Linked DNA regions of Rattus norvegicus. The main gene of each other region encodes a partner of the protein of the gene in region 5 in a complex. Each region holds a gene or a part of one and is shown on either strand. Other genes may lie near its edges. A codon is read from its position in the direction of its gene.

What was found.
Region 1: the proteins of Snap25 (region 5) and Vamp3 are in contact, whole or in part, in a crystal structure (PDB 5KJ8), measured with the Rattus norvegicus proteins. Residues at the interface, in NP_112253.1 of Rattus norvegicus: Asp147, Leu150, Glu151, Val153, Ser154, Ile157, Leu160, Arg161, Ala164, Leu165, Met167, Gly168, Ile171, Asp172, Gln174, Asn175, Ile178, Asp179, Ile181, Met182, Ala185, Asp186, Asn188, Lys189, Ile192, Ala195, Asn196, Ala199, Thr200, Met202; in NP_476438.1 of Rattus norvegicus: Ser15 (codon at 931), Arg18 (codon at 922), Leu19 (codon at 919), Gln21 (codon at 913), Thr22 (codon at 910), Gln25 (codon at 901), Val26 (codon at 898), Glu28 (codon at 892), Val29, Ile32, Met33, Asn36, Lys39, Val40, Glu42, Arg43, Lys46, Leu47, Glu49, Leu50, Arg53, Ala56, Leu57, Gly60, Ala61, Gln63, Phe64, Ser67, Leu71, Lys74.
Region 2: the proteins of Snap25 (region 5) and Napa are in contact, whole or in part, in a cryo-EM structure (PDB 6MDM), measured with the Rattus norvegicus proteins. Residues at the interface, in NP_112253.1 of Rattus norvegicus: Glu37, Lys40, Asp41, Ile44, Arg45, Leu47, Asp51, Glu52, Glu55, Gln56, Arg59, Glu62, Gln152, Asn159, Met163, Asp166, Glu170, Thr173; in NP_542152.1 of Rattus norvegicus: Lys122, Glu155, Glu156, Ser157, Asn158, Ser159, Ser160, Asn162, Pro196, Leu197, Leu198, Tyr200, Ser201, Lys203, Asp204, Ala234, Phe235, Ser236, Arg239, Ser268, Ile269, Ser270.
Region 3: the proteins of Snap25 (region 5) and Rph3a are in contact, whole or in part, in a crystal structure (PDB 5LOW), measured with the Rattus norvegicus proteins. Residues at the interface, in NP_112253.1 of Rattus norvegicus: Glu38, Asp41, Ile44, Arg45, Leu47, Val48, Met49, Asp51, Glu52, Glu55; in NP_598202.2 of Rattus norvegicus: His617, Ser618, Ala621, Ile648, Ser649, Ala650, Lys651, Gly652, Leu655, Tyr659, Leu662, Lys663, Lys665.
Region 4: the proteins of Snap25 (region 5) and Syt1 are in contact, whole or in part, in a crystal structure (PDB 5KJ8), measured with the Rattus norvegicus proteins. Residues at the interface, in NP_112253.1 of Rattus norvegicus: Lys40, Asp41, Ile44, Leu47, Val48, Asp51, Glu52, Glu55, Gln56, Arg59; in NP_001028852.2 of Rattus norvegicus: Cys277, Arg281, Lys288, Val292, Leu294, Glu295, Asn336, Tyr338, Asn340, Arg398 (codon at 3,600), Arg399 (codon at 3,603), Pro400 (codon at 3,606), Ala402 (codon at 3,612), Trp404 (codon at 3,618).

What each region holds. Positions count from the first base shown.
Region 1 is NC_086023.1:166,788,414-166,793,159, forward strand, and holds the start of Vamp3 (vesicle-associated membrane protein 3), read right to left. Parts: upstream 3,110-4,746; 5' UTR 3,059-3,109; coding exon 3,057-3,058; intron 972-3,056; coding exon 890-971; intron 1-889. UniProt on the Homo sapiens protein: SNARE involved in vesicular transport from the late endosomes to the trans-Golgi network.
Region 2 is NC_086019.1:85,925,121-85,929,418, reverse strand, and holds part of Napa (alpha-soluble NSF attachment protein), read right to left. Parts: intron 3,602-4,298; coding exon 3,485-3,601; intron 17-3,484; coding exon 1-16. UniProt on the Homo sapiens protein: Required for vesicular transport between the endoplasmic reticulum and the Golgi apparatus. Together with GNA12 promotes CDH5 localization to plasma membrane.
Region 3 is NC_086030.1:41,201,745-41,206,523, forward strand, and holds the start of Rph3a (rabphilin-3A), read left to right. Parts: upstream 1-1,817; 5' UTR 1,818-1,969; intron 1,970-2,079; 5' UTR 2,080-2,189; intron 2,190-4,779. UniProt on the Homo sapiens protein: Plays an essential role in docking and fusion steps of regulated exocytosis.
Region 4 is NC_086025.1:45,701,892-45,706,189, reverse strand, and holds the end of Syt1 (synaptotagmin-1), read left to right. Parts: intron 1-102; coding exon 103-236; intron 237-3,467; coding exon 3,468-3,674; 3' UTR 3,675-3,962; downstream 3,963-4,298. UniProt on the Homo sapiens protein: Calcium sensor that participates in triggering neurotransmitter release at the synapse. May have a regulatory role in the membrane interactions during trafficking of synaptic vesicles at the active zone of the synapse.
Region 5 is NC_086021.1:144,492,751-144,497,707, forward strand, and holds the start of Snap25 (synaptosomal-associated protein 25), read left to right. Parts: upstream 1-1,844; 5' UTR 1,845-1,991; exon of another isoform or gene 1,992-2,174; intron 2,175-2,262; exon of another isoform or gene 2,263-4,957.

The DNA.
Region 1 (4,746 bases), on a different chromosome or scaffold from region 5:
ATGCATGTAGGCAAAAACCTCATACACTTAAGTCTTAATAAAAAGAGTATGGAAACAGTGGTCCATCTCACAGGCTCTTCACCGTGGTTCTACACGTACATACCCAAACAAAAGTTGCCATAGGACTCCACTAGCTCAAGAATTCCAGGGAGAGCTGGGACTACAGCAGTTCCACCTTCTATGGCTCCTTCGACAAATATCAGAGAAAGCTTCTACAAAGACCTGCCTATACCAGATAACTAGTAAATCCTGCTATAAGACACACAACAATTTGGGAGCAAAACAAAACCCAGCTCAGAAAGACTTGCTCCTGGCTTGAGCAATCCAATTACCCTATCTTACAAGTGGCTCTGGGGACAAACTTTCGGATATGTTTTAGGTTTGTGATTTGATAGTAGAAAAATTAGTATGAAACCAGGAAGAGTCTCCTTTGTGCTTGGCAGATGGCTTCTAGAACATTCAGGCAAAATAATCATATACATAAAAAGAAAACTAATCTTTAAGAAAAGAATATGGAAATGCTGGTTTGAGTTTCTCACAGAATCTTTACTATTGCCCTGCAAATACACATTTAGAAAGATGACTTCTGACATACTCGAAATTTATGCTCACATGTCAGTGATGCTTCCCCCCCCCCCCCAACGTTTAAAAAACAATGAGTTATGTGTGTGTCTGTGAGGGAACATGCATGTGCCACTGGAGTCCATTACAGGCAGTTTCATGGTCCAGATGAGAGTGACTGGAATCCAGGTGGATCCTCTGCTAGAACAATACATGTTCTTTCAACCCGAGACACCTTTCTAGCTCCAATGACTCTTTTTCCAAATAAAATTCTAGAGAGAATTCCCATGTGTGTTTAAAAGTCACACTTGAAACTTTAGAGCAGTACCTCATCTACTTGATTCTGTGTCTGCTGGAGTCTTCGATTACTGCCAGTGGCAGCACTGGACCCTGAAGGCACCCCTGTAGACCTGAAAGGTATAAAGTCACAGGTATGAGTACATTGTGATTCCTGGTGCCCTTGATGAGGCAAACATAATCCCGACACTCCGACCACGACATGGGAGGTGGACACAAGAGTCCTGGAAGCCTGAGGGCCAGCTCACCTGATACGTGCAGCACTGGACAAGAGATACCGTCTCTACTAAGGTGGAAAGAAGGGCTGCCATGTGAGGTTGTTCTCTGCTCACAAGTATCCCGTGGCATGTTTGTGTGTACAAACTGTTATGCTGGGATTCAGTCTTTTTTTTTTTTTTTTTTTGGTTCTTTTTTTCGGAGCTGGGGACCGAACCCAGGGCCTTGTGCTTCCTAGGTAAGCGCTCTACCACTGAGCTAAATCCCCAGCCCCGCTGGGATTCAGTCTTACTGACTCCTTATACTGCAATCATTCCTAAAGCCCTGCAGTAAGAAATAAAGGCACTAATGTGTTTTTATAATTCCTCAATAATTCTTAAGACTGTATCACTGGGGCTGGAGAGATGGCTCAGCGGTTAAGAGCACTGACTGCTCTTCCAGAGGTTCTGAGTTCAAATCCCACAACCACATGGTGGCTCACAACCATCTGTAATGGGATCCGATGCTCTCTTTTGGTGTGTCTGAGGACAGCGACAGTGTTCTTATATATAGTAAATAAATATATCTTAAAAAAAAAAAGACTATCACTTCATAGTGACCAAAGTCTGAAGCAAAATAAGATCTGTTTTGTGTCAATGAAGTCCTCTTTTTAAAAAAACTTGCTTTAAGGCACTCAGATGATTAAAGGCACTCAGTAGTCTCGTGACCTTTTTGCTGTGGCAAGAACTGCCTTATGGTTAGGAACAATCACAGAACAGCCAATGTGCTGAAGTAGTGCAACCGAGGGGTCTCTGTGAATGGGAAGGTGGCTGAAGCAATTGTCTCTGTTGGAAAGTCATCTCATGTTGGTTCAGTGAATCTGTATTTTCATTCATCCCCACTCTTCATGACTACTCTGGCTTTTAAGTCCTTATTAACTCCATTAAACTCTTCCTGTATCTAAGACAGTGCTCAACCTGTGCCTTCGTACACAACTGTCACCCCAGGGTTGACTCAACAGTTTTTTTGGGTTTTTTTTGGTTCTTTTTTTTCGGAGCTGGGGACCGAACCCAGGGCCTTGCGCTTCCTAGGCAAGCGCTCTACCACTGAGCTAAATCCCCAACCCCTCAACAGTTCTTTTAAGTCAGCACTGTGTCCACCATCAAGGACACACAACACTGATGGCTGTCTCAGAACTCAGGGTCCGAAAGTTAAACAGCTAAGGGCCGTGCTCTGGAAGCACTATGCATGTTTTTTTTTTCCTCTTTGAAGCCTGATAACTTTATGAAGAGGGTATTACTATCCTCCTCATCTTATTAAAACTTAGGATAAAACATGCAGCTGGCTGAAGTGAAACCAGGTCCACTTTAATTCTCTCATGCATGGACGGGACACAGTCATTTGCACAGCAGTCTGACCAGGTACATCTTAAGTAGTGACAACTTCGAGAAGTAGATACATCAATTCCCGCTGAAGGTTACTATTAGAAACCAATTTCAAAACAAGAGTGTGTTTGCTTAAAACGGAAGCGAAACCTTCCGCTGCCAAGGTGCGCTAGCAGCGCGAGAGCTCCTCTGAGGACGCCAAACGCTGGTCTACCATGGGCTGGGCCTCAGCTCCGGGCCACCTCCCGGGCTCCCGCTCCTGCCCCGCACCGCGGCGCAGAGGGCGAGCGCCCCCGCCCCTCTCGAGGAAGGAGAGGCAGGGTGGGGCGGCCGCTTCCTCGGTCAGCCGGTGCCCCCATCCCCGCCCTTCCGCGTCTGCCCGCCGGCCTCGAAGCACTCGGGGACGTCGCGGCGCCAAGACTCGTCCCGCAGCGTCCGGGGGCAGAGTGCACCGCGGGGCCGCCGCCCACTTCAGGGCCCGGGACGCTGCACCTAGGCCCGCGAGGCCTCCACTCGAGTCCGAGTGCCGAGCAGCAGCCACCGCGCCTGAAGCGGGTCCCAGGAGTGGGCCACGGCCCCCGGAGCCCGCCTCGCCTCGCAGCGCAGCGCGTCACTCACATTTTGGCGGCGGCGGCAGCGGCAGCGAATGGCCGAGGGTCCGTGGACTTGCGCTGCAGGCAACCGAGGCTGAGGAGATGGGCGGGGCTGCGGTGACGTCAGGAACAGGGGCAGGACCGGAACCGGCGATGCGCTCTCAGCCGCCGAGGGCGCGCCGGAAATGGGCGGGGTTACATGGGCTGTAACCTCCGGGCTGACCAGAGTAGGAGGGGCCAGAGCTTGCGCTGAAGTAGCGCCCACGCTGACGAGTGGGCGGGCTTCTCGGTGGACAAGTGGGCGGGGCTAGAGCGCGGCGCCTGCGCCTTTGGGCTGGGCTCTTCAGCGCCTTGGAATCACAGCAGCTTCCTGCAGTGTCTCCGCTGCCCTGTCTCTAGCCCTGGAAAGGCAGTTTAGAGTGAGAATGGGTGCGTTTTACATTACTATGAGCCCGCATACCTTCTCTCTGGGTCGTGACCATGTTAGAAACTGCTTATGAGCCTAACGTTCCAGAATAATCTAGTGGACCTGAGGAGACAAAGTTCTTTTCTGAGAAAGAGGCAGTAGGAAGTCCATTTGGAGTCTTGACCACAGGGTTTGGAAGAAATCCCCTCTCAGGTTCTCACATGACAAGTATTTGCCATTGCACGGCTATTACAATTCCTGAAGGGAGCCTTGGACTTTGAGAACTGTAAGTTTCTTCATTTCTGTAATTCCCTGGTCCTAGCAGAGAAGAGATACTCAACTTTTGTTCAAAGGGGGTGAGTAGTATACGTCGCAAAGAATCCAAACAGTCTCTTTAAACAGACTAAATAAGTTCAGTTGGTGGATTCATTAAGTAAAATACACCTAAGGTATTTTCCACTTCAGCGTGGTGAACTCGCAAAGGTGAGTATTGCAATAAAGCACGCCACTTCAGTGGGTACTGGGTTGAGTAGTAGATATAAAAAAAAAACATTCTAGGTAGGAGCACAGACCAACTGGAGAGTGTGGGGCTGCGCTTAAATAGTGAACAGAAACTGCAGTGGGCTCCTGGTGGGAGGTTCAGAGTGTGAAACTGGCACTTATTCTGAGGTAGATCAGAAGTGAAGTACTCCCAGAAAGATAGCAGAACTCTGCAGCGAAGAGGACTGGAACAGTAACGGAAAAAAATACCTGCAGGGAAGCCTTTGTGAGGTAAGCTGGAAAGGGTCTTTAAAAAAAAAAAAAACAAACCTACCTAGTAGAGCTGAAGAGTAGCTTAGTTGGCAGGGTGCTAGTCTTAACATCCAGTCCTGGGTCTGATCCCCTGGAACCAGATAAGACCCAGCCTGTCGGCACACCCGTAATCTCAACAGAAGCTTTTTAGGTAAACAGTTAAGAGGTTCAAGGTCATCCTTATACGTAAGCGTTGGGACTTCATGGGTTCTCTGAGCTACATGAGAAGGGTTAATGTAAGATCGAGATCCTTATCTTCCAAGCAACCCATTTAAGAAGAAAGACTCGAGGTACTGAGGAACCAGGCAGGGTAGGCAAGTGCTTTGGGAAAGTGGCTCTAAGTGAAACGCTGGGTGGGAGGACACTGTGTGTGGGAGGTGAAAAAAAAAAAAAAACAAACAAACTTCCCACCCACAACACCTTGGGTTTTAGGTCAGGTTAAAGCAAAACGCGGATGATATGGGGAAATTTTCTTCATTTTTAATTTACAGCAGGAAGAATAGAAAGCATTCAGAAA
Region 2 (4,298 bases), on a different chromosome or scaffold from region 5:
AGACAGTTAATGGCCTCTGGGGAGGAAAGAGAAGATGGAGAGGTCATTATAGCAGGTCCTGAGGACAGGAGGCAGACTATACTCCCTCAGGGAGATGACGGGCACATGGTTGCCTTGGCTTCAGGGCTCTTAGGATCTCGAGCAACCGGAAGGGTGGGAGCCCTAGACCCCAGGCAACCTAGTTGGACTGAGTATTTCTGCATACAGAGACATGCTGGGCACTTCTTCCCAGGGAGGCCAGCTCCCTTAGGCAGCCACACTTCCAGCTTGCAAGCAGATCAGGGCACAGTGGCACAGTCAGACTCCTATAGAGTTTGAATCAGACTATCACAGCCCTGCCATCAAAGGGCAAACTGCTAGCTGGGGCAGAGGCTATAGGGCTCAGTGTCTGACCTTGAAGACTGTCCTGAGTGAGTCCTATCCTTGAGTTTAGCCTGACTGGCCTCTCCTGCAGAGAAGGCTGGATGCAATGAGCACTGGGCCCTCTTCATGGGGGCTCTGCACCCCCATCTGAAGAGCACTGTCCTCTCCTTGGTGCATCCAAAAGGTCCTGGCCCTACTGGCTGCTTGAATAGCAAGCTGTACCGAACACCAGGATGGTACCTTCATTGTACCATTTCTTCTAAGATTTTAAATTGGGAAAAGGATTTTTTTTTTGAACAAGTTATTTGGAGGAGAGAGGCATGAGTGGGAGGCATCTTCTAGCAGATGGAAATGAACTCTCAGTATCTTTTAACCACCAACTCAGGAGGGGGTTGGGAGAGGCACAGGGCCGGACAAAGGGTCTAGATGGACTACAGACCATGTGGTAGGAAGGCTCCAGGGCTCCTACTGGACTGAGTGTGCTGGGCTCTCTCGGGATGTGGATGCTAAGGTTGCTTCCTGTGGGGATTTCAGCAGCTAAAGCCTGTTGGCATGGGATCTGTTGAGGGGGCTGTCCCTGCCACAGAAGCAAGGGAGAAACATGGATTTACAGGGCCTTGGCTCCTTGCTCTAGGAACAGCTTGGAAAGCAGCAGGCTGCTGGCTGACACCCTGATCTGCTCTCACCACAGGGCTTCTGATGCCACAGGTCAGTTCCTACCCTCCTGGGTGCTCAGCCTGTAGAGAGAGGCTTACAGAACCCAGCTCAACTCTACATTACTCTGAAGTCCCTGGCATATGCAGAGCTAAGCAAGCACCGTTCACAGTAAAACAGGGACAAACTGCAAGCCCCAGCAAGGAGAGGGGATGGATGCAACAGCGTCAGGTGCTTGTACATAGTAGGCATCCAAGAAACCACAGAACAGTAGGCGTGGGGTTAGGTAGAAGACCCGTGAGGACAGACTATTTCCCTGCCTATGCACACACAAGGCAAGCTATAAAAGGGTTAAATTCCCAGGCCGTCAGCTGCTGCTAATGGAAGTCTCAGGTGGGATCCCTAAAGAGCTGACGGATGAGACCACAGGGCAGGTGATCAGACAGGTGAGGGAGATTCCTCCTGAACAAACTGGGTGTTCAAGCCTCCCTGGCCTTCCTCCACCTGTTTCCTAGGACACTGGCCACATGGGAGAAGCTCTAGAGCTCAGGGTGGCTCCCTCCTGGATATCAGAAGCTGCTATGTGCACCTCGCAGTAAGTGGATGCTATCACCGAGGAGAAAATAAAGCCCTGAAGAGTAACAGGGCTAGGATGCAGTTTCATGGTGCAGCACAAGGCCCTGGGTTTCTTGGGGGAGGGGGAAGTGAGGCTCAGGTTACCCAGGCATGTCTTCCCCTGCTTGGCTAATCTTCTCTGTGAGCCCTGACTGGCCCTAGACAAAATGGCTGTTATCTTTGCAAATGCAGTCCATTCCCCTCATTTGTGGAGCTGTGATTGGGGAGGGTACCATGGCAGTGGGGCTGAATGTCACTCAGCTGTCATCCCTCCCTGTCCAGCATGAGTCCCTAGCCCTTACCATCAGAAGCTCTCCTCTCACAATTGTGCTAGGTACCCTCTCCACCATTACGCCCTTAGCTGCAGCATCCTCAGTGCACATCCACATTAGCCTGCACGTGTTGAGGACAGGGCCCATGCCTGAGTCTCTGGAGGAAAAGGACCCAACCACAAACTGGGAGGTACAGTTCTGTTCAAAGAGCTCATGATGCTAGGGCATCCTTTAGGCTGGCAGCCACTAGCACCCAGGAACTGGTCCTCCCAGCCCCTCCGGATGGAGCAGCAGCTGAGGGGCACAGATGCTAGGCAGTGTCTCCAGGCCAACCAGTCCCCCAGGGAGCAAAAGGGGAAAGCATGAGGAGGGCTGTGTGGAGGAAAGGACTGCCCTGAGCCGCTGGCTGTATCCAAGTCCTACCCAGCTGAGAGGCTGTCTCTCTCTGCTTGTCAGCCCAGGGACGGAGCCAACACAGTCATCTCTCTAACTGGGAGTGGCTCTGTCAACAATGGCAGTTATTCACTGATGCTGCAGAGAGCATGGGGTGCGTGTCTTCTCCCTAGAGGTGAACCTTTATCCAAACACTGAGCACCTCCTTTTGAAAAGAATAGTCACTTCTTTTCCATTCTTCTAAAGAAAAAAATCCTAGATATTTTAAAAATTATTAATGAGACTTAGTCTCATACAGCCCTAGGTGTGCCTCAAACTCGCTTTGTAGCCAAGGGTTGAGGATGGTTTGTTTTGAGTACCTGAATTTTCTGCCTCTGCCTGCCAAATGCTTAGATGATAGGCATGAGCCACCATGACTGCGTCAGACACCTCTGCTTGCTAAAAGTTAAAGTTAGCAATCTATGTGGCTCTAAGATTTAAAAAAGAAATCATTCTGGGGACCGAGATGTGTATAACACATTCTCAGCACATCAGAGGTCCAGGCTGAATCCCTAGCATCACAAATAAGCGAATAAAAATAATGAAAGCAGGGGTTGGGGATTTGGCTCAGTGGTAGAGCCCTTGTCTAGGAAGCGCAAGGCCTTGGGTTCGGTCCCCAGCTCCGGAAAAAAAAAAAAAAAAAAAAAAAAAGAACCAAGAAAAATAACGAAAGCAAACTCCCCAGCCCAGGAAATCCGAGTCTGAGGTCCCTGGGCTGTGCTGCGTCCAAACCTGTCCCCAGAGGCTCTGCTTTAAGGAACTGGCCTCTGGCAACTTCCCCTGCTTCTTCTTGGAGTGCAGGGAAGCCAGGTCAAGCAGAGCTCCACTTTACTTGGCTTGGCTTGGACTGCCCTGCCCCCTTCTGCATGCTAATTCTGACAACTGAACAGCTTTGCCTGGTTTCCTGGCAAACAGTGGGTCTGAAATGGAACTCCCACTCCCAAATGCTCAAAGCCTGGGTGGGAGAGGTGCCACCTGCGGGGCAGGATGCCAGTGACAGCAAAGACCAGCCAATTCTGCAGTCAGGGCTTGTTTTGCTCCTGGCCTATCGTGTGTCAGCCACTGGAAAAGCCCAGATCTGTGCAGACACCTGAGGATGGGGACAGTGCTCACCTGTTCTGCCGTCTGTGGCTCCCACAGGCCCTTACCTTGGGGGTCAGCTTTCTTGAAAGCGTTGCCGGCGTCCACAAAGCAGGTGGCTGCATCGTGCTTGCTCTGGAGCTGTAGGTGCAGTTGGGCAGCCTGGCAGAAAGCGTTCCCAGCAGCTAGAATAGAACAGATTGGCCCAGCTTCAGTCACGGCCCCAGGAGGCACTTCGGGCTCTCAAGAACACAGCTAGAGTGCCAGGCAGAGGTCCAGATCAGCCTACTCCAGCCCAATGGCAGCCTTCGCAGAGCTTTCTGGTGAATCGAGGAGGTCAGAAAGCTGCCTTGGGAAGCCTAGGTCCCACTATAAACAAATGGCCAGGGTGAACACAGTACCCGCCCATCCCCTCCACCCAGCAACTCAAGAGCCTCCACTTCCACAGAGAGGAAGAAAAGGCAGGCAGAGCCGAGGACTAAAAGTACAAAACATCCAGGCTCTTGGGTTCAGAGACTCTCCTCTTGCACAGAAAAGTCTGGAACCTAAACAGAGAGCAAGGAGAAGATGGGGAGGGTATGAGGGGTGCTCTGGGAAGGTACAGTGAGATTAATCCATGTGACACTTCCCACTTGCTCCCTCCCCTAGTCCATTTCTTTCCTTAACTCCCCAAATCTCTCAGGTATAGCCCTACAATGAGTCCTTGCCTAGAAAGGGAAACAGGACAGCAAGAACCAGAGTCCTTGAAGACAGTGCTCATGCCCCAGACTGGCCAAGGGGAGAAAGCAGGGTCTGCCCCACTGTGGGCTTCAATTATCACCTCAGCCCAGCTAAGGTGCTACCTCGCTCCATGCTCCTCCAGTCCCAGCTGAGTGGGAGCCT
Region 3 (4,779 bases), on a different chromosome or scaffold from region 5:
CCACCAACAACAACTATCACCATCACCATCACTTCCACCACCACCACCTATCACTAACACCACCATCACCAATTATCACCACCACCACCACCACCACCACCATCACCACCACCACCAACAACAACTATCAACATCACCACCACCATCACCATCAACACCACCACCACCACCACCAACAACAACAACTATCACCATGGCCACCATCACCACCATTACCACCACCAACACCACCAACACCAACACCAACAACAACTATCACCATGGCCACCATCACCACCATTACCAACACCAACACCAACACCACCACCACCAACAACAACAATTATCACCATGGCCACCATCACCACCCCCACTATAATCATTGCCACCACCACCATCCTCATGCTATAATCATCACCCAGATGACCACAACCATCATCAACACCACCACAGGGATCATCTATAGAGCCATGCTATGAAAGGTCTCTCATATCCTGACAGTTTGAATCCTAGCTCTCAAAGACTCACCCTGGGCCCTGCATGGGAAGCTTTACATGAAGAGAGGGACTCCCCTCACTTTGCTGGGAGGTTCTAAATGGCTCTTGGCTTCTTTGGGCTTTGACGTTCTTTCTCCACCCTGAGCACTTTCTCGTAGTTGGCAGAAGCATCACACCAGGGAGCCGGGATGCTGGTGCCATGGGAACATAAGTCCCATTGTGTATCGCCCCCCTCTCCAGTGATTTATTTCCTGCGTGTTGTGACTTTACCTCAGAAAGCCAGTCTGGTTTGGGGGGATGGGTCTTTGGCAGAGGACCGTGTCTGTTCTGGAACTCCTAAAATTCCCAGCCCCATCCCACTCCAACCACATGCTGCAGATTGGTGTGCACCAGACTCATTGGCTGTCGAGTCCTTTATCTCTGTCAAAACATTTGAATCAGAGGGTGGGTTATAGATCATGGAATCAGAGCAGCCCCTAGTGTGGGCATTCTTATTGCTACCTTAGACTCATTCTTTTTGCCGTGAGGAAGTTGTGGTGGTCATGTCTTCAGTTTGCAGTCGGCAGGGACATGGTAACATTAAACGCTATTCCTAAGGTTGCCCAGACTCCCTGAAATCTGTCAGATGTGGTTGTTTAAACAAATCACCCTCCCCTTCAGCCGCTCCTAGTTTTCTTTTTTTTTTTTTTTTTTTTTTTTTTTTTGGTTCTTTTTTTTGGAGCTGGGGACCGAACCCAGGGCCTTGCGCTTCCTAGGTAAGCGCTCTACCACTGAGCTAAATCCCCAGCCCCCGCTCCTAGTTTTCTTAGCCTTGTTTTCTCCTGCTACCTTCTGAGCCCGAGTTGCAGACTTCAGCAGCAATGTGGATGATCCTGAAAACCACAGAGAGACGCACAGGTACCGGCGAAGATCAGGGGTTGTTATAGCCCATTTGACAATATTAGCCTAAGTGTGCAGTGAGGTAGCCTGTATGCAGTCTGACAGAATCGTCCCGGTTCCTCTACTCTGGCCTCCTCCTTTCTCTGCTGCAGCCATCCAATAACTTCCCCTGTTCTGTCTGGGGTTAGTGGCTGCCCTTCCCCTCCGCTTGCGTCCTGGTGCTGTCCGTGGTACTGACTGCCAATCCGGATCGTTCCCAGGCGCCCAGCCTCCCCTCCTGGCCTCCCACCTCTCCTCCCGCAGGCAACGCGGCACAATGCATCGCGGTGGGAGGCAAGCTGGGCTCCCCTGCGCCGGGAAGCGGCTGCCCCTCCCTCTGGATCACACAGGGTTTTTGCAGTAGGTGACAGCAGGATCGGGCACCAGGGAAGCAATTGATTCGTCTACTGCCCGCATCCCAGAGTTGCCTACGCTGCCCAGAGAGGGAGAGAGGAAAGAGAAGAGGGGAGAGAAAGAGAGACTTACAAAACCTTCCTTCCATGTGGAGTAGTCTGAGTGAATCACTGCCCACCGTTGTAGACTCCAACTGTACTTAGTTTTCTCCTTTGACGGGGGTATTTCTTTCTTTCTTTCTTTTGGCATGATTTAGGGGCATGCATTCATGCTGGTGACTTGATTTTATTTTGGGAAGACAGGGAGAGTCAAATGCACAATTTTCTTTCAGGCATATCTGCTGGTCTTTCAAGCCAAGTCGCTGGCACTTAACATCTCCCCCCGGCAGGGAGTTGGCAAGAATTTGGCTCACGCCTTCTGCTGCAATCCTCCGTTGTCTTGGTGAGTGACATTCTTCGTGGTGGTCCTGCAAATGGACTAGGGGATCTCAGGACCCTAACTGAGATGTGCAATGTTCATGTATGAGCTAGGAAGAGGGGAGCGGGGAGGGTAGGGCTGGCGATAACTGAACACGGTTCTTTGCCTGCATTCTGTAGGCTTTTATCAGCAACACTCCAGAGACAAATAGGATTTTAGTTCAGTGCCCAGGGAGGAGGCAAGAGTGCGCCTGTTCAGGCGACGTGAGCAAGAGAGTGGCTTCTACTCAGTTTGTCCTCTGCAGCAGAAGCTGAGGAAAGTGATTGGCAGCTCTTGAATGAGTTAACCCTTCATGGCCAGAACGGCACAGGGGGCCTCTAAGTGTTTGATTTGGTGGGTAGGCACCTTAGTCCTGGTTGGGAGAGTCACCTGAGCCTAGAAGGTTAACCCTTGCCTGAGCATCCTGGGCCAGCCTTTGCTTAGGACGGGGCTCAGACTGGGCTCTCCGCCAGGACTGGCTGAGTAATTGAATTGTGGTGGGTTCTGCAAACTCAGCTGTCCTGAGATGGGAAAGCGAGGATCCATGAAAGCGCCACCTTCTCGATTGGCATGAATGGTCAAGCAGTCAGCTGCTTGCCGAGCCGAGCTGTGGATGCTCTATTTTTTTTTTTTTACAGGTGGTGTCACCTGTAAGAGATTGGATGGGGGGTATGTATGTGGCTGTGGCACAGGGACTCTGTCACTGAGCCCGTCTCCCCACTGAGAAGAAGGGGAGCATGACATTCCAGTCCCTGGTCCCCAGTTCCAGGACAAACTGTAACCTCTATCCCAGTTTTTTTTCTCTGACATCTCAGTGAGGGGTAACTCCATACCAACCTGTTAGCCAGTGGGAAGCAGAGGTCCCTCACCACGAAGTCCCAAAGCTCGAGTCTTTAATTTTTAAAATGCTTTTGCCGGTAATCTGTGATCTATGGGAGAGGATTCTGCTCTGCTTTCTGCTTTAATTACTTCCTACCTTTTTGGGGAAATGAAAGTCTTTATTTTTAGCCCCGCAATCCACTTCGGCCGTCTCTGTCCGCTGGAATTTCTTTAGGAAGTTGAACTTGGGAGGCAAGAAGAAGACAAGGTTAGCCCCAGGGACTAGCAATCTGGAAATGCTGAGAGGGTCTCACCCAGCCCCAGGGCCATGAGGGGCTAGGGAGCGCAGGGTACAAGCCTATGTGGGCAGGACACAGGAGGAGAGTGTAGCCTGGTGGTCAGTGCCAAGGAGAGGGTCCTCCGAAACCTGGCTGCCAATCTGGGTGACCTTGAGGAATCTGCCTCCCTGGGAAACCATACACATGAATGGAAAGTGAAGAAGCTTGGCTTGCTTGAGTGAGACACTGCAGGCTTGCCCACAGACGATACTTCAAATACTGGACTTTCATGTTCTTTGGTTGGAATGGAATGTGGCTGGACTTTGGAATGGGGAGGAGACGGGCATTGAGGTTCACTGTTGCAATGAGAGTGAATCCTTCACTTGCTGGGCTGTGGGGAGGATGCAGGGGGCCTGGAGATGATCAACAGAGCCCCAGGAGCCCCAGGCAGTGTCACAGATACTGTGGGACATTTCCTTAGTCAACTTCTAGTTTCCAACCCTGCAGCACAATACAGCTCCTTGGACCAGCCCAGGCCCGGGCTGTCCAGATACAAAGGCTTCCTGGCCATCCATCTCCCTTGGTGTGGCCAGGAGCCAGGAGCCTGCCTCCTCCCTGTCACATCTGAAGTGGTGCATTGGGGTGCACCAGTGAGAGAACCTTCCGGAATGATTCTTGGCCTTGGATCAGGGCCCTTGAGTCTCGGGGCCTCTCTTCTCTCTCTGGGCCTCAGTTTCTCCATCTATGCAATGAGTCAGCTGCCCTGGGTGACTCAGGCTTCTTCCAGAACCTCAGATCTTCGTTACAGCCGCTGCTATGGCAAGGAGCGGCCATACTTTTAGGGAGACTTACTATTGTTTCCCTCTGATCCCACTGCTGGGGGAGACCCAGAGAGGGAAAGCAACTTGTCTAAAACCACACAGCAGGTCTTGGAATCCACCGTCATGGATATCAAGGCATTCTCTTACCCTTACATCCTGGTAGCCCCTATTTCTGGTCCCCGGCCTGCGGCGTAGAAAGGACGGATGCCCTCCAAACCTGTCTTGGGTTGGGAAGCTGAGCCCTGGAGACGGATAAAGTTAATCCTTGTATTTGGGGCTGCTACTATCCCATCAGCATGGAGGAAGGGGGTTCCCAGCAGCTCCTGGTGCCCTGTTCCCTCAGCCACTGTGTCTGATGTGTGTTTTGGGGTGGGTGGCTGCTGGGGGAGGTGGCTTGTAGGACATGGCTTATATAGGACATGGGAATCTTTATTAACACCTTCGCTTTCCTGTATCACTCACAGACCATGGCTTTCCGTCAATCCCACACCCCCCTCCCCTACACACAGCCAACATATGGTCCTGTCTTTTCCTGCAGGGGACCGGGGGCAGGGTGGTCCTACAGGCAGACAAGCTGGAGTTGAGGTAGTAGGGTTTATTTCTGCTAAGAGCTGTGGCTGAACTTGGATAAAAATAAACCCCGGGACCCAGTAGTGG
Region 4 (4,298 bases), on a different chromosome or scaffold from region 5:
TGGTGTGCATACCACCACACACACAGTAAATCGTACTAGAATGTTTCAGATAAAACAAAAATCCACGCCTGAGCTTCTAGAGTTCCTGTGTCTGTCTTTCAGATCCCTACGTGAAGATTCACCTGATGCAGAACGGTAAGAGGCTGAAGAAGAAAAAGACGACGATTAAGAAGAACACACTCAACCCCTACTACAACGAGTCCTTCAGCTTTGAAGTTCCGTTCGAGCAAATCCAGGTATGGTCTGACATGAGTGTGTCCCTCTACCCAGTCGCAGGCCTTCAGATCCCATAAATGACCCTGTGAGTCACCAGGGCTCTGCCCATGCCCGTTCATGCGGTGCCTGAGCCCCACCAAGCAGGACATGACAGACACACAGCCGTGAGAAGGGCTGGCTCTTCAGCTGGTACAGCAAGCTGCCTTCTGCTGAGCAGAGGGAACGTAGAAAACAGAAAACCATCAGAACCACTTTGCTAGGTCATTAAGTTTGTCTATGGAATCCGAAACCTAAGGGAGAACAAACCTGCCTATTCATTCCCAGGCCACAATAAGAAATCCACTTCTGTAGGGAAAAAATAGCCAGTGTCCCTTCTCACGTTGGCCCGTGGTGGATATATAACCAGCTCATACATATCTTCACATGCTAGAAAATTACATGTACTTATGTACTTCACTACTCTAAGCTCACTACTGTGAGCACTTCAGACCTTCTGGCCAATCCTTGAAACATCAGTTTTCTACCATAATTTATTTTGCAATATCTGCTCAGTGAACTTTTTGAGTCCTCGGCCCTTATTCCTATGGAAACTAACACCTCCTGGCATTTTTTTTTTTAATTCCACCAAACAAGATATTGGGATGAAAAAAAAAATCTTGTAAACTTACTCCTTTGGGCTAGAATCCTATACCTATAAAAATACATTCAACCTTTGAAGTACAGAAAGGACAAATATATTGAAAGGGAGGCATATTAAAAACAAAATAAAAATTTCGATTTGGGGCAGCATTTTAAAGGAGAGAGAACATGAGCCCAACATGAAGAAGCTGATTGGGTTTGGGAGTAGCAAACACCCACTGGCTGCATCCGGCCTCCCTCCCCTCTCCTTCCCTCCCTCCCTTTCCCCCTCCCCCCCTCCCCCCTCCCTCTCTCCCTCCCCCACCCCCTCTCAATCCTACACCATTGTTTTCCCCTTCTTTGTATTTCTCTAAAGTAGTGATTCTCAACCTTCCTAATTCTGTGACCCTTCCTTAATACAGTTCCTCATGTTGTGCTGACCCCCAACTATAAAATTAATTTTGTTGCTACTTCATGACTGTAATTTTGCTACTGTCATATGAGTTGTAATGTAAATGTCTGACATACAGGACATCATGTATGACCCCTGGGAAAGGGTAGTTCAACCCTCTGCCCAGGGGGTCTCTACCCACTTGCTGAGAACCACTGCCTTAAAGACAATAGTGTTCTACCTGCTAAAACAGTTTATTTAGTTTTTCTTAGGCTAGGATTATAAGATTGTGCGTCTGTCTTCTGTCTTTTTCAACCCTTCTGAAACATTTTGTGAAGGAAGCAAAGTATGCTAATTTCTGAAAGCAGAAAATATCATCCTCACCACCATCAAAAAATGCAGAAATAAACTATGGAGGCCCCTACAAAAATAGTCCAAAGGGTGCCCCTAACCAGCTCTCCCCTCAGTAACATAATCAAGTTTGCCCTAAATATGAAAACATCTATTACGTTTGCACATCATGCTCCCAGGCTGGCCCCTGACAGTTATTGTATCATGGTGCATTTGCTTGGGACAAGATCTGAGAGTCAAAGCCACACATACCAACATTATCCTTGTTCTCAAACACTACCTAGTAAATAGGTGATTTATTTATTTTATTTATTTGTGGTACTGGGGGATGACCCAACTACCACTGAGCCATATTCCCAGCCTAGAAAGGCAATTGTCTTAAGAGTGGCATCATAGCAAGGCTGCCCATAGAAAATGGTGCTACATTTTACACTACATTCTGAAGTCCATACACAGAAGTGACTGTGAGATGGCCGAGTGGATAAAGATACTTGCAGTCATCATCATAGTCTGGGATGGATTCCCAGGACCTACGTGGTAGGGAAAGAGAAGCAACTCCTGCAAGTTGTCCTCTGACCTCCACATGTGCAGTGTGGTCCATATCCCTGCACACATGCACACACAGAAAATGATAAACACATGTAATAAGGAAATTGCTCTACAGAAAAGAAGTATTTGTTTTTGCTGTTCCAAAGATGTATCTCAGTGGTGTCTCGAAACACACTGCTAGAGTAGTTTGGTCCTCAGAGTCAAAGTCTACAGAAGCATAACTCAGTGTATCCTCACCAGGGTCTGGCTGTCACAGTTCTGTTTTCCTTCCCTTTAATGCTGGCCACAAATCGATATAGCTACTGCATTTTAATCTTTTATCTTTATATCCAGTATCTAAATCAGAACCGTCACATATTCTGACTTACCAAATTCACTTCCTGGGCTGTGGGACTCTTTAGAGAGTATACCTTTTATACTATAATAATATTCTAATTAATAGTATGTAATAGCATAATAATACACTAATCAATGCTTATTAAGAAAATTACACTCAAGAAAAAGCATATTTTCTTTAGTCACTGCCCTTTTAAAAGATTTCAACTGTATTGTCATATTTCCTGGTCACAATTATACGATTAGGTCAGATTCTTTTACTTACACATAAAATGTTGGCTGTCACCTCTTGAAATGAGATCAGAATGCATGATGACTCCATAAGTTTTAATAAAGACAAAGAGAATGGCCTAGGTCCTCATGCCATAACACTCGTGAATAAGACACGTAAAGCCATGTCACAACCTCTCATAGGTACCTTGGCACGGTGGTTAACAGCATAGAAACCAACTCATTCATCCCTCATGTGACCTCAGACAGGTCAAAAAACTTCCGTGAGCTTCCAGCATCTATATCTGTACAGTGAAAATAATAGTAGGCTCGCTTGAGAAAAATAACTGAATTATTCCTTCTGTAAAGTTATTAGATAACATGAAGTAATAAAGATTAATGTGTATGTGTTAAAGATGACCACCAGGCATGATGGCACATTCCTGTGATCTCAACACTTGGGAGGTAGAAACAAGAGAATCAGGAGTTCAGGGTCATCAGTGACATAGTGACCTTGAAGCCAGTCCGAGGTCCATGAGACATTGCCCCACCACATCACAAGAAAGGTAACAAGATGGCGGTGACAATGAGTGTGTCAGTTACAGCGATGGTAATGGCGAGCTAGAACAATGAAAAAAGCAGGGTGAAGTCTTCATATCCAAGAGTTCTCAGCCTCCTCATCCTGGTGGTCAGGAATGGATCCTTAGTTCCTCAGATCCCAAGGAAGTTCTGTGTGTCCCAGGGCTTTTACCTGCAGGGTTGGCTGACACTTGTGCATTCGTGTGTCCTCTTTCAGAAAGTGCAAGTGGTGGTAACTGTTTTGGACTATGACAAGATTGGCAAGAACGACGCCATCGGCAAAGTCTTCGTTGGTTACAACAGCACTGGGGCGGAGCTGCGACACTGGTCAGACATGCTGGCCAACCCCCGGCGACCCATCGCACAGTGGCACACTCTGCAGGTAGAGGAGGAGGTTGATGCCATGCTGGCTGTCAAGAAGTAAAGGGAAAACGAAGCCTTTCTGCATCTGCCCACATAGTGCTCTTTAGCCAGTATCTGTAAATACCTCAGTAATATGGGTCCTTTTGGTTTCCAGCCATGCATTCCTGATACAATCCAGTGGTACTTCAAATCCTGTTTTAATTTGCACAAATTTAAGTGTAGAAAGCCCTTATGCCCTCCATCATACCACTGCCCTCCAAATCTACTCTTCTTTTAAGCAATATGATGTGTAGATAGAGCATGACTGAAATTATGTATTGTATCACACTGTTGTATATACCAGTATGCTAAAGATTTATTTCTAGTTTGTGTATTTGTATGTTGTAAGCGTTTCCTAACCTGTGTATATCTAGATGTTTTTAATAAGATGTTCTATTTTAAACTATGTAAATTGACTGAGATATAGGAGAGCTGATAATATATTATATGGTAAATATAGTATCGTCTGCATTCCAGCAAAAATATCAACTTGAAAGGCACTAGTACAGTTAAACCAACATCTTAAAGGACAACTTAAACCTGAGCTTTCTATTGAATCCTTTGAGTACCAAGATTCGCTCACACAACACCTTTGATGGGCGAACCCAATTTTGTAGAATTCTTTCACAGGCAAATAGCATGACCT
Region 5 (4,957 bases):
TCTGTCGTACAAAATTTTCAAATGTTGAATAATTTTTAAATAAGCAAATTGCAGCAGCAATACTCCAGGAATCTGGTTTTAATAAAAATCCAAACACCATTATCATCGCAAACATTAAGATTTCAAAATATCCCTTGGATCTGGGTATCTTTCCGAAAAAGCGAATTGTGCTCCTCTGGTCCACACAATCCCTTTACAAGTCTTCCCCCTCCCACCTCGGCTCCCCGACCATCTTCACCTACAATTAAAAGCTTTATCACCTAAGCCTGCTTTTAAAGCCAGTGAGCTTGTGTGTGTGTGTGTGTGTGTGTGTGTGTGTGTGTGTGTGTGTGTGTGTGTGTGACTGAGACGGTGGGGGGCCTGTGTGGCGGGGTAGCGTTTGCACGTTGCTTTGTGTGTGTGTGTGTGTGTGTGTGTGTGTGTGTGTGTGTGTGTGTGTGTGTATGTGTTTCTAAGAGAAAAGGATTTTCCATCGCCCAAGAGGCCATCAAGTTTTAAGATTGCAAGGCACGACTTCTAATCGCATCCTCCGCGGAAAAGTACAAACAGTTCCTGAGAAGAGGTCCCCCACCTCCCACGCGCTCCCCAGCTCTCCCTCACTGCCTAGAACCCGGACAACCTCCCCAACACCTGTGAATCATCCAGAGGCTGCACCACCGAGTTATTTGCATATCGCCGCCCGCCCTCCCCAGCTCCTGACCGCTCCTGACGGCTCCTGACGCACGACAAGCGAAGACAGGATTATGTTGTGTGGTTATTACTTCTAATCTTTCATCTGAACCAGCAGAAGTGGACGTTCTTGCTCATTCCAGCCCCCTCCCCCTCCCCCTCCCCCCGAGCTTCAGTGGTTTGGCCACTGCAAGTGCCAGGGGCTTGTGTAATGAGTGAGTGACACTCCAGATTTCTGTCAGGTCCTAGCCACCTTCCCTCCTGATGTCTGGACATGCATGCTTCGTCCTCTGGACATGGTCTAAGAAACCCGAACATCATCCTAGGTCCGGACTGCAAATTCAACCGGATACAGCGTCATCTAGTCATCTATAAGCCCTGAGCAAACAACTCACAACTCAAAGCCCTGAGACCGCAAAGGCAAACTAGCAGGGCTAACTAGCTTCCCTCTCCCTTTTCCCATCTCCAGCGTTATCTTGGCGATAACTGCTCTGACGTACTTTAAAAGAAAAGTGTGAGCCTTTCCCCAACTGGCTATGATTAAATGAGAACACTAAACCCGCAATGCTGCTTTAATACAATAACTACTCATAAAAATAGCAACCTAAGTAACCTGGTCAGGCAAGGAGCTGGTGAGAGCCAAGGGGAATGCCTCTTCAGACAGACCCCCTTCTCTGGAGAAAATAAATCACAACAGAAATCTATCCCAATCCCTCATATCGTTACCCTTCTATTCCTTTACCTTCCTCTCGTGTCTGTGACTCAACCAAAGACAAATCATCAGGGGAACGTTTTACATATAAATATGTATGTATTTACATTATTGTAATTGTATATACATTCCAAACACACCTATATACATACATATATTCACATATGCATGCACACACAAGGAAAGGCATAGGCCATCAGGAAAACAGTCGCAAGAAATGTGTGTTTCCCAAGACAGTGCTAAAATGGAGTCAAAAGAATCGCTCCATTTGGATGTTTATAAAAGATTGAAATAAAAAGGTTTGCTGCAAAGCGCTCGGGGAGCTGAGTCAAGCGCTCCGCACCTCCCGGCTCCTCCCCTACCGCCCCCAGCCACCTTCCTCCCTCCGCCCTCCCCCATCACACTTCCTCCCCGCCCCTCGAGGAGCCGGCTATTAAAAGCTGCTGACGTCAAAGGAACGGCCATCTTTGATGAGGGCAGAGCTCACGTTGCATTGAAGACGAAACCTCGGGGAGGTCTGGAGCTGTCTTTCCTTCCCTCCCTACCCGGCGGCTCCTCCACTCTTGCTACCTGCAGGGATCAGCGGACAGCATCCTCTGAAGAAGACAAGGTAAAGAGCCCCCTCCTCCGATCCTGGCCCTGGCCCTGCATGGCTGCATACACAGAAGGGACTGCAGCTGGCAGCCCAAGTGAGCCTGGGTAAATACAAGTAGTGGTGCACTTAGGGTGCGGTATTCCCTGTGTGCTCGTCTGCCTAGATTCTTGCCTGGGGCCACATAAAAGTATTTTTCAGGTGAGCTGTTGGGAGAAGGAGTGAATGGGGACACTGCAGGTGGAGTGGTGGAAAAAATAGCGAGGATGTGTATAGAATAATAACTTACTCTTTTGAAGCAGCCGTGGGACCCTCTTCCATCTTGCGATGCAGTTTTGAGATATGTTTAGGTTATTAGGCTTGCGGTTTTTTTTCCTGTAGACTAGAATTTAAAAGCAAAACATGATCTTGTCGTTCGTTCCAACCCTATGATTATGACTGTAGTGTTTAGGGCACTGCTACCCAAGGGAGATGAGAAGGCAGGGTGTGGGCGCTGGGGAGGCGAAAGGAGAAGGGGGGTAGTTCCCGCCCTGGGCAAGCTGAGCTGCCGCAACGGTAGCAGCCTCCACGTCCCACAGACTTGATTTATGCCGCCTGCCCCAAGTCAGCTGCAGGCGGGAAGGGGCTGCAGAGTGGCAAAGCTCTAGGGGGTTAGCGCGGTGGGCTAGGCTGTTGGGGTGCGTGGAGGGAGCTCAGCACCCTGGACAGGAGTGCTCGGCGCCCGTGTCGGCGCCCTGACCTTTCAGCACCGCGGACAGCGATCCGGCTGCAGCGCCGCATTACCTGCTGCAGAGCCGCCTGGCTAGGGCTGGAGGCCAAATTTTCTCTCTGAGATCCAGATCTTAGAGAAAGTCTTAATAAAGCTGGCGTGATAGATTAAAAGAAAGGCAGAAGAATAAATCCTGTCATCGGGGATTTATTTACAGACAATTGCCTGCTCTCTTCCTCACCTCCCACGTAGCTTCAAGAAATAACAGACTACTTGTAGAAGCCTTCTGTATTTCTCCCTGTGCCTTGGTTAAGAAAAAAAAAGCAACAAAACAAAACAAACAGAAAAACAGAAAAACAGAAAAAGAAAGCATACTTTTAAAAACGGTCACTTAGCCTCCATTATGACACGAACACTGTAATTTTTTGTTTTTAACACGGGGTAGATATGTTGATATTAGGTGGGCTCAAGTGGGCTTATATGATAATGCGAGTACTATCTAGACATAGGACAATTGCATCCCTATGGGTTTTTTTTTTATCAAGAATATGGGTTATCTGAACTAAGAAGAACTAATTTTAGGAAATAAATCCCTTGGTTGCTCTCCCTTTATTCTGAAAACTAGATAGAAACAAGCATATACAGCCCCGAAGAAATTTCAATCTCTCTGGCCATGGTTTTGGAGTTAGTGAATTTCATAGCACTGGTTGTGGCAGCTCTATTGATGTAGATTTTGACATCCTTGGGAGAACTTAAAGATGTCCTTCAGGGTTATACATAGGCTGAAGCAGGAACTGACCCCAAGATTCACTGTAATTTCTATTATGGCACTGAAGGATTTTGCTGAGGTCATGATAAGTATTTTCTTCTCCGAGGCTTGGAGACTCTGCATGAGCAAAAATTGTCAGGATAATACATATCTGTTCAATTTAGATTCCCATAATTGTCACGAATGTATCAAGACTAAAAAAGATGATATGCTTTCAGCAGTTGTTAAATGAGAATAACAGCTTCACGTGTAAAGATGTATATAATGCATTAAAGAAATGTTAGCATGAACCCCTTTAAAGACCTTCAAAAGGTCTGGAATTGTGTCTACTTAGTTATAACTCCAATCATCTGTCTTCCAAAGGTACTAAAATTCCCTGTCTATTAAAAAGAATTATTTTATCTCCAGCTATTTATTCATGGGTTCTTTTACCTTTTTCTGAAAATCATGTGTTTCCATGTTTGTATATGCCAGTATATTATTGTGTGTAGATGGAAATTGCTTCCAGTGGACATTTATTCCAGATTTTTGTAGCTGCATGGGAGTTTATAACTCTGAAATCTTCATATATAATAAACAACTATGTTTCATTGATGGGAGGTGGGGGAGAAATATGGGGAGGAGTCTATTTAAATGCTTTACCGTGATAGTGCACATCCAGACAGTTCTGCGCAGTTGCGTCAAATGCAAAGCCTAACACTGCTTGAATTATGTGCTTGAATGTTAGTAATTACTGCTGTGTTTACTGTAGAGTGGAAGGCAAAGGAAAGGGGTACAGCACTGCAGTGAAGCTGGCCGAGGGTGCAGTGTGGGAGAAAGAGGCAATATGAATAATTATACAGCTAAATATAGGCCAGCTAGCTGAGAAAATAAAAGGAAACGTACCTGGAACATAGATTTAACATTTATGTCATGGAAAAACTTCAGTGGGAAAAATAGAAAGATTTTTTCCTTCATTTTAAGTTTGAATTTTGAAAATCCAGGACAATATGGTGAAGGAGGTGGGAGCAGAGAGGCATAGGGAGAATCCAGGAAACAATCCTGCAGACACTGGGATGGGACCTGCTTGTTTGTTTATTGTTGGTTTCCACATTTGGCATTCCCAGCACAAAATAATTTACAGTTTCTACAATCTCTTCGTGGTACAATCTCCCAAGAATTGATAATTTAACTTTTACTTTATAAAACACCCACATCTCCAAGGCAGGCTGCCCCTTAATTTGTTAGATAATATTCCTAAACTCTGGAGTTAACCCCATAGTAAAGGTTATCAGCTGAACAATTGATTTCTTCTCCAATGACACCTAGCAACTGCATCGCAGCTGGCCTTCAGGAGAACTGTTGCCTTTGACCACTGTAGAAATAAAAATAATGTAATCAAGAGATTGAATGAGGAAACAAAAGAAAATCCTGATTTTTTGTAAATGATGCACTATCAAGAAACAATGCTTCTCACGTTATGAGATTGCTTTACAGCACCAGAAAAGCAGGAAAAATTATGGGTTT